3 linked regions of the Coturnix japonica genome follow. The protein of the gene in region 3 interacts with the protein of the main gene of each other region in a pairwise test. Links are inferred from orthologs where the notes say so. Each region holds a gene or a part of one and is shown on either strand. Other genes may lie near its edges.

Evidence for each region. The genes of interacting proteins can lie anywhere in the genome.
Region 1: the proteins of SAR1A (region 3) and SLC38A7 interact in binary tests that used the Homo sapiens proteins (3 or more experiments, as listed by UniProt). The link is inferred for Coturnix japonica from reciprocal best matches to the Homo sapiens genes SAR1A and SLC38A7.
Region 2: the proteins of SAR1A (region 3) and ATXN1 interact in binary tests that used the Homo sapiens proteins (3 or more experiments, as listed by UniProt). The link is inferred for Coturnix japonica from reciprocal best matches to the Homo sapiens genes SAR1A and ATXN1.

What each region holds. Positions count from the first base shown.
Region 1 is NC_029526.1:1,143,885-1,148,028, forward strand, and holds the start of SLC38A7 (putative sodium-coupled neutral amino acid transporter 7), read left to right. Parts: upstream 1-1,344; 5' UTR 1,345-1,452; intron 1,453-1,744; 5' UTR 1,745-1,857; intron 1,858-1,955; 5' UTR 1,956-2,103; coding exon 2,104-2,370; intron 2,371-2,592; coding exon 2,593-2,791; intron 2,792-2,933; coding exon 2,934-3,078; intron 3,079-3,263; coding exon 3,264-3,362; intron 3,363-3,764; coding exon 3,765-3,822; intron 3,823-3,916; coding exon 3,917-4,031; intron 4,032-4,144. Other genes in the region: GOT2 (aspartate aminotransferase, mitochondrial), read left to right, coding at 135-257. UniProt on the Homo sapiens protein: Symporter that selectively cotransports sodium ions and amino acids, such as L-glutamine and L-asparagine from the lysosome into the cytoplasm and may participates in mTORC1 activation. The transport activity requires an acidic lysosomal lumen.
Region 2 is NC_029517.1:67,238,935-67,242,940, forward strand, and holds the start of ATXN1 (ataxin-1), read left to right. Parts: upstream 1-1,206; 5' UTR 1,207-1,546; intron 1,547-2,076; exon of another isoform or gene 2,077-2,320; intron 2,321-2,351; exon of another isoform or gene 2,352-2,823; intron 2,824-4,006. UniProt on the Homo sapiens protein: Chromatin-binding factor that repress Notch signaling in the absence of Notch intracellular domain by acting as a CBF1 corepressor. Binds to the HEY promoter and might assist, along with NCOR2, RBPJ-mediated repression. Binds RNA in vitro.
Region 3 is NC_029521.1:9,530,767-9,534,930, forward strand, and holds the start of SAR1A (GTP-binding protein SAR1a), read left to right. Parts: upstream 1-1,364; 5' UTR 1,365-1,485; intron 1,486-1,589; 5' UTR 1,590-1,606; coding exon 1,607-1,664; intron 1,665-1,776; coding exon 1,777-1,896; intron 1,897-2,221; coding exon 2,222-2,287; intron 2,288-3,284; coding exon 3,285-3,388; intron 3,389-3,701; coding exon 3,702-3,833; intron 3,834-4,164. Other genes in the region: PPA1 (inorganic pyrophosphatase), read left to right, coding at 909-940. UniProt on the Homo sapiens protein: Small GTPase that cycles between an active GTP-bound and an inactive GDP-bound state and mainly functions in vesicle-mediated endoplasmic reticulum (ER) to Golgi transport.

The sequences.
Region 1 (4,144 bases), on a different chromosome or scaffold from region 3:
CCCAGAGCTCTGCAGGTGGTTGGATGACGTGTCTGCTGGCACCCAGCTTGTGTTTGGTTCTAGCAGGCTGTGTAAATCTGCACTCCAGCAATAGAATAGAGGGCTTCAATTTGGTCTCTGCTCTTTCATCCCAGGTGGAGCGGCTGACGAAGGAGTTCTCCATCTATATGACAAAGGATGGCCGAATCTCCGTGGCAGGAGTTGCATCGAGCAATGTAGGCTACCTGGCTCACGCCATCCATCAAGTCACAAAGTAAAGACAGAGGCGTGCTCTGGAGCTGCTGGCCTTCCCCACGGCTCAAAGAAGGGGAAGGAAGGAAGGAAGGAAGGAAAACGCTTCCAACCACAGCACTTAATGCCGCTGCTGAATGTATCTTGTAGATGAGTTGTCATAGAAGCCTCTAGTTCAAATTGCACCGCGTTGTGGAGCAAGGACATAATTGCTGGCTCCCTGTCGCCATAGCCATTCTCTCCTGCTGCTTGTCCTTTGTCCATCAGCCCCAACACCCATCTGCACTGGAGGGAGTTAGAGGTTACTGCTCTGCATCCTACCGGCGGACACACCAAAGGCATCCCTGTGCTTGTCTCTCCACAAGAGGGCTGTACCAGGCTGCTCACTGACAGCAGCAGGCAGGGAGCAGGGTGGGCTGGGGGGGCACGTTTGGGTTCACCTGGTGAGCCGGGCTCAGCCCGTCCCTGCTGCCTGCAGGCTCTGTCCTCCTCCACCCTCTGCTGCTGGACTCGGGCTTAGCCCAGCGCTGGGCAGTGCTGCAGCTGCCATCCAACAGGGAGCGTAAAGGCTCTGAGGACTTGTCACTACTACAGTGTGCTCCACTGTGGGCTTGGTTTCCATCTGGGACTCTGTCAGGTGTCATTCACAGTGGCATTGGTGTGTGTGTGTGTGTGTGGCAGGCTCCTGTCACTGCTCCCAACCTCTGCTCCCATGCTCCGAGGTCAATTTCTTGTCCTTCAATACGAACTTCCTCTGAAACCTGCTCTCTGTGGCTCTGTGTGTCTCCCCACCCCCTGCAGCCCCGTCACATCAGCCCTGTGAGCCCAGATGAGCTGGGCTGTGTCCAGCCTGACCCGGGGATGCTGTGACATCTGCCTCATCCGCTCCATCCCAAGGGCTGCTGATGGTAAATGCAGGACGGAAGGCTCCCAAGGGCGGTCTGAGCGTTGGCCGTGCAAAAACCATCCTCTCCTCGTGCTGGCTGCCCGCAGCTCGGGCTGCCCAGACCCACGCACGGGCTGCGGCGCTCGCTGCCCTCATGGCTCCGCTCCGAGCTCCGATCCAACCGGAGCCGCTCAGGGAGGCGTGGCGGGGGGCGGGCGGCGCCGGCGCGGTTGCGGTGAGCGGGGCGGGGCGGTGCGACCCCGGCGGGGGGAGGGACACGCGTGGGCACGGCGGTGGGAGCCGGCTCCGGACCGCAGAGACAGTGCCCCGCCCGGGTGAGCGGGGGGTCCCTGGGCCGGGGGGGCTGGGGGTACCCTCGGGGTGTAACCTGTGCGTGGGGGCTGCGTGCCGTGCCGCCGGGTTAAACAGCCCGAAGGCGGAGCGCGGCCCGGGCGGGAGGCCCGGAGCTTCCCCTGGGCCGTGCGGGTGGCTCCGTCCGTGCTGCGTGGCGGTGCGTGGGTCGGGGCGGCTGCCCGGCGCATGTTCCCGCAGCGCTGTGTGCCCGGCCGTGCGCTGCCGTGGTCGCTGCGGGTCTCGCTGAGCCCGGCCCTGACCTTTCCCCCGCAGCCCGTGCGCGGCAGCTTGTGCAGAGCTTGCAGGAATTGGGGCCGGGATTGAGGAAGCCCGGCGGGGCTCGTGCCCGCAGCGATGCGCGTCCCCGTGCGGCCGGCCAGGCCGAGGTGAGCTCCGCTTCCCGCAGTACCCGTGTGCCGTTCCCCACCGGCTCTCTCTATCGGGGGCCGTAGCGGTACCGGAGGATCCTCGCGTTCTCCTGCAGCCCTTTGTAGGAGTCGCACAGCAGCGCCTGGCTGTTTGCTGTCGCCAAACCCAATGGAGCCAACGCTGCCCCGCGGCACTCGGCTGAGCCCGGTGCAGCAGCGCTAGTGGGACGCACGGCGGGAGGAGCGGGCGCTGCCGGCGGGAGGATGGCTCAGGCCGCTGGGAGCATCAACACCGACTACAGGGACTGGGAGTGGAGCGACGATGCCGGGGAACGGGCCCGGCTCCTGCAGAGCCCCAGCGTGGAAGCGGTGCCGAAGAGCGAGGAGAGCCCAGGGAACGGCGCCGGGGCCACGTCGGCGCTGGGCGCGGTGTTCATCGTGGTGAATGCTGCTCTCGGGGCCGGGCTGCTCAACTTCCCGGCTGCCTTCAACATGGCTGGTGGTGTAGCTGCGGGCATTGCCCTGCAGATGGTGAGAGATGGGCTGGGACGGACCTTGTCCCAAGCCTGGAGAGACTGGGGGGGTTGTAGGGCTGTGGGGAGGAGGAGATGTTGGGTGGAAGCCCCCCGGGTGAAGCAGAGGTTAGGACCCATGGGGGGCAGTAGTGATGCTGTCTGCATTTTGGGGTGGCTTTGGGGACGTTAGCTTGCTGCTGCCTCACTTTGTCCCCTTCCCATCTCTCCCTCCCCGCAGTGCATGCTGATCTTCATCATCGGAGGGCTGGTCATCCTGGCGTACTGCTCGCAGGCCAGCAATGAACGCACCTACCAAGAGGTGGTGTGGGCTGTGTGTGGGAAGGTGCCAGGTGTGCTGTGCGAGGTGGCCATCGCCGTTTATACCTTTGGCACCTGCATTGCTTTCCTCATCATCATCGGAGACCAAGAGGACAAGAGTGAGTGCCCCAAGGGTGTGACCCTTCGGGTAGATGCGGCGCTGACCAACATGGTTGGGGCTGGAATGGATTGGGGTTGGACCTTAGTGGTCTTTTCCAACCTAAATGATTCTGTGATTCTCTGAGCTATCTCTGCCCACAGTCATTGCTGCTCTGGTGACGGAGCCTGAGGAAGCAGGGAGCAGCCGCTGGTACACGGACCGCAAGTTCACCATCAGCATCACCGCCTTCCTCCTCATCCTCCCCCTCTCCATCCCCAAAGAGATTGGCTTCCAGAAATACGCCAGGTGGGTACGAGAGCCCTGCAGGCCTGGGGGGGTGGGCTGAGGAGAGGGGTAACGGTACCTGGTGTCTTCCTTGGGGGAGGAGAAGAGCAGGGATCATCCTGGTTGGAGGGGTTGGGATGGCAGGTGGAGATACCCTCAGACATCCTCAGAGCTGGATGCTGACAGCTTGCTGTCCCCTCCTGCAGCTCTCTGAGTGTGATTGGCACGTGGTATGTCACCGCAGTCATCATCATCAAGTACATCTGGCCTGACAAGGAGCTCGTGCCCGTGGAGATCCCTACCAGGTGTGTGTGCAAGAGACGTAATGCTGATGGTCTCATCTGGATCTCCAGTGCTCCAGCACGGGATTTGAGGAGAACAATTCCCTTCTAGCTCTGCTACAGCTGCATCAAACCCCAGCAAGGAGAGGTCGGGGTCTCCTTTGGGTGATTTTTGGTTCTTTCCTTTGCTGGTGTGGCTTCTTTTCCTTCCCCGTGTGGGACTTTCTGGACTCACTGTGGTCAGGGAATTTTAGGGCAGAGCAGAGTTAAGATCAGTTTTTGGCACTGCCCAAAGGAAAACCTTTATCCATGCAAAAGCTCTGTCCCGGGTGGGAGGAACTGGTGGCTGAGCTGGGGGCAGATCAGCAGAGGACCACACAGTTTGGATGTGCCCCCGCTCTGACCAGTGGCCGTTTCTCTCCCCAGCCCCTCCACCTGGATGGCCGTGTTCAACGCCATGCCCACCATCTGCTTTGGATTCCAGGTAGCTTCGTGCAGCACACGGGATCTTGTGCATCTCCCCGCTGCTCTGACTCGTCCCATATCGTGTCCCCTCACTCTCTTTGTGTCTCTGGCAGTGCCATGTTAGCAGCGTGCCCGTCTTTAACAGCATGAAGCAGCCAGAGGTGAAGACGTGGGGAGCAGTGGTGACAGCAGCCATGGTGATCGCTCTCTTTGTCTATACTGGCACTGGTAAGTGAGGGGACCCCATGGTCCTTGGAGGAGCTGTGAGCTCCTGGGGACAGGCACTGGTCAGCAGAGGTAACTTGAACACGCATCCAGGAGGGTCTTTCCCTGCCCCATCT
Region 2 (4,006 bases), on a different chromosome or scaffold from region 3:
GTACCAACTCTCAGTCATGAGCTGTGCAGATTACCATGTTGTTAGCACATTCTCTAGGAAATATAGAGGACGAGTACAGTCATTCATAGAAGGGACTGCTTTGCTGATCTGCATACTGACAGAGCCCTAGGGTCTTTTGCATCCAGACTAACGCTAGATCCAATGCTGAAACACAGCGGTACTACCTGTGGACACACACGTGACACATCGGCACTACAGACATCTGCTCGGAGCTCACAGCTGTGCTGGGGGGGGGGGATTGGAAGAGGCTCAAACAACAGCCCGCTCTGGGCAGCCACGGCACAGGGAGCGCACGTGCTGCTCTCGGAGCCCTTCTGGAGCTGAGACCCAGCCTTGGGGGTTTATGCAGCATTTCGTGTGGTGACTTTGGGATGGGGAGAGGCTTTCCCGGCGCCGTGCGTGCCTTCCTGATGCCAAAGCAGAGCGAGCGGTTCCCTGCGCGGCAGTCGGGTTGCCAGCAAGCAGAGCAGACGCCGTCCCGTGCCTGTGTTCCTCCCATTCATTTATTCGGGGAGAGGCGGGCAGTGGTCTGCGCGCAGCCGGGAGAGACGAGCGAGGATTGTGCCGGAGCGCGTACGAGGAGCGCAGCGGGAGCGAGTACCCAAACATGCGTGGTGCAGCCCTGCCCGCCTCGTAGTGCGGCGACGGAATGAGTCAGAGCCTCTTTGGTCTGAATGAAGTGGAAGGTACTCTCTACAAAGCAACTCGAGCATACGCCAAGGATCCGGAAAAATAAAACTAATTCAGAAAACGGGAGTGGGATGCGGGCTCCTGCGCTACGACGCTTTGAACGGCAAAACGCAATATGGCATCTTAAATAAAATCACCCTCCCCTGACTCTCACGGCGCTGCCTCCGAGCCGTCCCTGGCTCGGGTTTATTTCCTCCCTTAGCGACAGCCCGGCCGAGGCCGCCGCTCCCGCATCCTGGCCCCGCTCTGCTCCCCCCGCTGGGCAGCGCGTCCCTCCCGGTGCCCGCCGGTGCGTCCCTCAGCACAGCGGGCGTCGGGGCGAGGAACGGCCGGGCTGGGGGGGTAAAAAGGGGGGAGGAGGAGGAGGGCGGCTCGGCCCCGGGCGGCCTCCAAAGGGTTAAGGCCGGCGGCCCCGGCGGTGCTGAGCGTATGCAATAATCTGTGTGGCTCTCTTGGCCGCCCGCCAGAGTGCTGCCTTGCCTCCTCCTCCTCCTCCTCCTCCCCCCCGCCCCCCCCTTTCGCGTGAAGTAGGATCCTTGAGCTGTTGCAGAGGCAGCCAACTGCTCCATATTTGGCTTCTATTACACATTTACATACTGGAGAGCGGAGCGGCAGCGAGCGCTGTACTGCAGACATCATTTCTACTACAGCGCCGGAGCAGCCCGGAGCGTGTCCCCGCGGGGGAAGGAGCCCTCACTTACACACACATACACACGCACACATATACACACACACACACACATACACACCCGCAGACCCCCACCCCGGGAGGACGGCGGTGCTCGAGTCTCAGTCCGACCCCCCCCGCCAGCCCCACCTCCACTGACACTTTACAGTAAGTGCCTTTTTCTTCCTCCTCTGCTTTCTGCCCCTCCACCCCCCCCGCTCCTCCTCCTCCTCCCCCGGCTTCTCCCCTTGTTTGGGCTGCGGAGCCGCCCGCGGTTCCCGGCTGGAAAAACACGGGGCTGGGGGCGGCTCTGTGCGTGTATATGTGTGTATGTGTGTGTGTGTATATGTGTGTGTGTGTGTGTATATGTGTGTGCGGGGGGGCAGCGCTGCGGCCCGGCCTCAGGGCCCGGCCCGGGCGGGGGCCGCGACATGGCCGAGGGCAGCGGCCTGGGCCCGGGGCCGGGGCTCGCACGGCCCTCCCGCTCCTCCTCCTCCTCCTTCCTTCTCCCTCACCCCGCCGGCAGGGTGGACATTTTGCGAGCGGCGGCCTCGGGGTGTGTGTTTGTAGCCGGGTGTGTATGTGTAGATGTGTGTGTGTGTGTGTGTGTGTGTGTGGCGGTGCGGTGCGTGACGGGGTGGTGACACGGCCCCTCCGTGTGTGTGTGTGTGTGTGTGTGTGTGTGGGAGAGAGGAGGGGGGGGGCCGCGGCCGGGCCGCACGGCGCATGTAGTAGGGGCTGGGCGGCCGCTGAGGGTGAATGAAGCGAGCGGGCGGCGGAGGAGGCGGCGCTGGGACGGGGATGTGGCCGGCGGCCGCCCCGCGCCGCTGCTGTCGGGGCCCAGGCCGCCTGCGGACAACGCCCGGTACCGCCGCCGGGGGAGCGCGGGCGGGAGGGCCGCGGGGCAGCGCCACTTTAACCCCGGCCGGAGCTCGGGGTCGGGTCGGTGTCGTTCGCTATTACCCCACCCCCACCCCGGTAGGGACGCGGACGCCGCGATCCGCGAGCGCGATTCCTGGGGGTATCGAAGTCTCAATTAAACGCGCTGCGAAACGTCAGCGCCCGCTGTAATAGCGATAAGAACGCGACGGAGCGGGGAGCGCAGAGGAGGAATTACCGAGCGGCACTGACGGAGGAGCAAACAAGTCGGAAGCCGTTATATAATGCGGGGAGCGGCGGCTGGTTGGGCGCCGCTGACCGCACGGAGCGCAGCGCCGGGCCGAGCCGTGTGGGGGGACATCCCGCTCGGTGCCGGGCGCCGCGGGCTGTTTGTCCGTCCGTCCGTGCGTGCGGCGGCGCAATGAGGGCTTTTAATTTCGGTTTCGAGCCCTTCCGCGGCGGTGCGGGCCCGGGCCCTTCACGCAGCCCTTCGGAGACCGCCCGGCCCCGCTCCGCCGAACGATGAGAGAGCGCTGCTATGGCAACAGACAGCCCCGGCCGCTCAGGTGTGCGCGCCGTGAGCCCCGCCGCCTCCGTGCGGGGTGCGGGGACAGGGACGGGGGGAGGCACCGCACAGCGGCTCCGTCAGGGCGCTGCGGGAGCACGGAAACTTTGCCGCTGCTCCTCGCACCCAGCCCGGCTCCGTAGGGCCGGGAATTGTTGGTACCGCTGGGAACGTGAGCAAGGAGCTGTGCGCTGAGGGGCAGCCGGCTTCCTTTGCCCTCGGTGAACAAACCCGAGGGGGCATATCGTATAAACATCGCCACGCGGCTCGTTGCTGATATTCCGATTGATACCACTTTGCGTTTGTGCTCGTTAACATACAGCAGAGAGCGAAACTTTCCGCCCCGTACGGCGTGTTGCCGTGTTGGAGCGGGCAGTGCGGCTCCTGCCCTCCCGGAGCAGCTCATGCCGGCCCTTCCCCTCGTTGCCCGCACACGGGCGCAGGCGTCGCTTCGTGCAGGCACCGAATGTGGCGCTGAGTCGTAATGCCGCGGGCCTGGAGCGGCTCCAGGGGCTGCTTGAGAGCCGCGCACACCGTGTGTATATCTGGGGTAGCTCCGCTCGTTGGACTCCGGCCAGGCGCAGAGCAGAGTAGCAGAGCTCAGGCGCTGATCCGCTGCCTGCAGCCATCGTTTTCCCAATATCTTACCACGGCAAAAAGCAACGTGGGATTTTTTTTGCCCCCTGGAGGTGCCGCGTTAGCCACGTGCGTCCACGCTGCTACGGAGCGCAGCCCGGAGCACTTCGCATCTCGGCGGTGAGAAGCTGCCGGCACCGTGAAGCACACACACAATCACAGCATCACAGAATGACCCGGGTTGGAAGGGACCTCAAGGATCATGTAGTTCCAACCCCCTGCCTGGCAGGGCCACCAAACATACACATTTACTAGATCAGGAGCACCGGAGCTCCCCGGCAGCCCCTGGGCAGTGCACGGTGCCGGCAACTTCTCACCGCATCTCTTCTCCCTGCCCTGCTGTGATTTACTCGGAGAGGCTGAAGGAACCGGTCTTTTATTGTAAGAGACATTTACAAGAGGCCTGGAATTGCACTTAACGAACATTTTTATGTAATAGATCCAGTGGCCTAGTTTCATCTTAATTAAGAAAATAGACGTTAGATGCGCTCACCTGAAAAGCAACTGATTGAAACATTAGGATGCGAAAGTATTGGTCTCAGAGCAAA
Region 3 (4,164 bases):
AGGACTTCCTCAGGGGAACTGTCAGTAGGTAAAGGAGGATCAAGACTGGCAGCTACAGGCCTTGTCAAACCTGTCTTGTCTCAGTAATGCTGTTCAGTTGCCACATCACTTGTACTGGGGCCTTACTTCCTTACTATGGTACGTGAGGCTGGGATATGAGCAGGGGATCTGGGATGCCACTTCACTGTGGAGGAAGTTTGATCTGTAGCAGTCCCTTAGTGCTGGAAGAAGGATGCCTCAGAGGCCTGAAGTGAATTGGTAGCAGCAGCATTTTCACTACTTCCTCCCATGTGGGGTTTCATCAGTGTCATCAGTCCAGGTGAAGTGAGGAAGGAAAGCACTTCATCTCCATGAAGAGGGGCAGAAAATGGCCATGAGTGCAGTGCTTCAGCTGCTGCTGACAGAGGCTTTGTCACTAAGCAAGTGGCAGCTGCAAGCTAGTAGGTTTTCTGCATGTCAGGACCTGGTCTGTTGTGCAGCACAAAGCTGCATAGGAAAGTGACGACTGTGGGACAACTCCTGGGGCCAGCTGAGTCAGATGGGTGCGAGGGAAGCAGTGCTGCCAGCCCCTTGGCAGGGCCATGTGGTTGCTTCTCATGGCTTGCTGAGTACAGCCAGCATCCTCAGGGCATCACTGCATGTAGGGCATGTGATGCAACTGGTAGGAGCTTGTGCAAAGTGCTGAGCTGGAGGTGATGCATATAGCACCATGGAAGGCAGCTTTTGGGCCAGCCCACACTTGAGAGGGCTTTTCCAGCTTTAATGACCCATCTCAGATTGCTTCACCACCACCTCCTTGCAGCGAGGGATGAGGTCTTTCCTTTGAACCTGCTGTGCTCCAGACTGAACCATGGCAGTTCTTGCAGTGTCCATACAGGACTAACCCTGCTTTGTTCCGCCCCGTGCAGTTGACAGGTGGTTCTATTACCAGAAGAACTGAAGGCTGAGGCTGTGTGCTGAGGAGCTGCTCCCTTTGCATCCCAGAGTCACCACATGCAGGAGTAGCCCAGAAGAACAGCACTGGTGACAAGGCACCTATGACTGACACCAATTAGCACCATCTAACCATGACCTGGTACATTGGCTCTGGTGGAGGTAGAAGATAGAACTTTAAATCAAAAGCTGCTGCTTGTGCGCGGTGTCCTGGTGTGTCTGTAACCATCTGCACATAAAGCCGTGCGGGTGCAGAGGTTCACCCAGTGCTGGATGTTAAAATAAAACTACTGAGCTCTGCGTGCTGTGCTCCTTCCTTTGCAATGAGGCGGATCTCGCTCTGCCCGGCGGTGGATGGTTGGAACTTCAGCAGGGACTTGAGCGGGATTCGAACCCGCGGTCATGTCGCGGTGTGGGCGGGCTCCGCTTGACGTCACGGCGCGGAGCCGACGTGGAGCCAGCGCGGCGGGGCGGAAGCGGGCGGGGCGCAGGAGCGACGCAGTTCCGGCGGGAGCTGGCGGCACAACGGGAGCGGGGTCCGTGCGGCCGGAGGTGGGAACCGGGAACCGGGCCGGGAATAGGGCGGGGATAGGGATAGAGCGGGGGGACAGCGGGGGAACGGGGGGATACGTGACTGATCCCGGCTGTGCCCGCAGGCGCTCCATCCTCAGCGATGTCGTTCATCTTCGAGTGGATCTACAACGGGTTCAGCAGCGTGCTGCAGTTCCTGGGTGAGGCCCCTCGTGCATTAGGCTTCATGTTTTCCCGTCCCTCTGGTTGCTGTGTGACCGTCCCGGTGTCAGCCGGCTCCATCGGGGACACGCGGCTGTTTGTTCCCTGCAGGGCTCTACAAGAAGTCTGGCAAACTTGTGTTCCTGGGCCTGGATAATGCGGGCAAAACCACACTGCTGCACATGCTCAAGGACGACCGGCTGGGCCAGCACGTCCCCACGCTGCACCCCAGTATGTCTGCACTGCGCCCAGGGGAACTGGTAGCTTGGCTTCAGATATAGAGGCCAAGAAGGGGTGTGGGTTAGTGGATAGCACACACTGCTCCTGGGGAGGGAGAGGGTTCACAACATCCCAACTTGGAACAGACCCATAGGGATCATTGAGCCCAACTCCTGGCTGTGCAATATGACATAAACACACATTAATAAGAGCACCCCTAAGTAATAGACAAGGAAGGAACAAATATCCTACACAAGGGCCTTGTGATGCTGGTGCACACCCCCAAGAACCATTAGCTGTAGTAATTGCTTTCTTTTCTTGTGTTCTTGCTTTCCAGCCTCAGAAGAGCTGACAATTGCTGGCATGACTTTCACTACTTTTGATCTGGGTGGACATGCTCAAGGTACGTGCCAGCTTACTGATTTCAGTTGTGTTCCCCGGCCACCTCTGGAAAGATTAGAAAGAGCTCCCCAAAAGAGATGCTGGAGAGTGATGGGAATTGGCCATATCCAACTGCTTGTAGCTTGATAGTGGTTGTGGAGTGTAACAATCAGGAAGATCAACACAGTGGAAAGGTAACACAACAGGTATAATGATAGAGGGACTAACACAATAGAAAGGTGTTATAAAGGAAGGAAAAAGGACTGCTCACCTGTCTCTGAAGATCCAGGCTCACAGGGGAAAACTCCACAAAGGAGGGATCTTCAGAAAGAGATCCTTCCCCAGCAGCATCCAGCCTTTAAAAGAGGACTGAGAGGTGCAGCCAGGCTCCACCCCTTATGTCCATGCAGCTGGATTGCCTTCACCTGTGCTCCCAGGGCTGACGGGACCTTTCCCCAGGTGCTCAATCAGTGGTTCAGGCCGTGACTCAACAGTTACCACACATGGAACTATTAGTGGAAGTGGCCTGGCTCTAGGAAACTGGTTGTTTCAGTGGCTAAATAATTGTGCTTTATTCTGGCAGCTTGGAAAAACAAAAAAAGCTGCCAGCTCACACTCTGCTGCTTGAAATAGTTTTAGCTGTGGAAGGTTCGTACGTCACAGCCTTATTCTTCTGAATAATCTCTGAATTTCTGTCTTTAGATTTCCTTTCTTGAAGTCCTAAGAAAAGTGTTTCTGTGTATTTTTCTGAATGCCCACGAGCAGGCTGACAGTCAGGGGCTGTTGTTGCAACAGGAACAGCACCCATCAGTATTGCGTAGACACACTCGCTGTGCACACGTGTTGGCTGCCTGCTGACAAGCGTCTGTCACACAGCAGTGATCTGATCACTTGTGAAAGTGCAGAGAGCATGAGCAGCACGGCGGGCTGTCACCAGCAGCCCCAGGAAGCAGTGGGGCTCCGCTGTGGGCACAGCACCCTGCTGTTCTCACAGGAGCTGTTGGTCTCTTGCCTTGCAGCCCGCCGGGTGTGGAAGAACTACCTGCCCGCCATCAATGGGATCGTCTTCCTGGTGGACTGTGCAGATCACTCCCGGCTTATGGAATCCAAAGTTGAGCTTAATGTAAACTTCTTGGTTTTGTTGGTTTTTTTTTTTTCCTTTCCCTGACACCTTTGACTGGCCACATTATAAATAATGTTCTTATTTGGTGGGATGGGACTTGAGGCAGCCTAGATGCTGTGGGGTGACTGTAGGCTCCTGAGCACACTTTAAGGAAGGGTCCTGCAAAGCCCCTTCTGGGAAGAACCCTCCCATGGGAGCGCTGTAGCACCAGGGATTAACCCTTGTGGGTCCCAGAGCTTACCAAAACGAAGCTTTCCTCAGATGACAGATGCTTGTGCTGCCTCTGTGTAACTTAAAGCTGTCTTGCACGCAGGCGCTAATGACAGATGAAACAATATCCAATGTGCCAATCCTTATCTTGGGCAACAAAATCGACAGACCCGAGGCCATCAGTGAGGAGAAACTGCGGGAGATCTTCGGGCTTTACGGACAGACCACGGGGAAGGTAGGGAGGCACGTGGTCTGGGTACTGCACAAGTACATGTTCCTTGCAGAGGGAGGTGCCCTGTGGAAGCCAAGTGGTTTGTTCCTGTGCATTTGTCCTAAACATTTGACTAGGCCGAACCTTTAATAACAGCGATGCCCTCAGGCGAGTTTTGAAACATCCAGAGTTGTGCAAAGCACAGTTGTCCTAGTTAGGAAATCAGGTGTTGTGCTGGAGTTTGACAGTGGTAGCACATTGCCAGACTCTTCTGGTTTCATTACTCCAAATTTTGTTCAGCTTACCACCTCTCCACGTTGTCACTGTATGCTTAGAGTCGATCAGAAGTAACAGC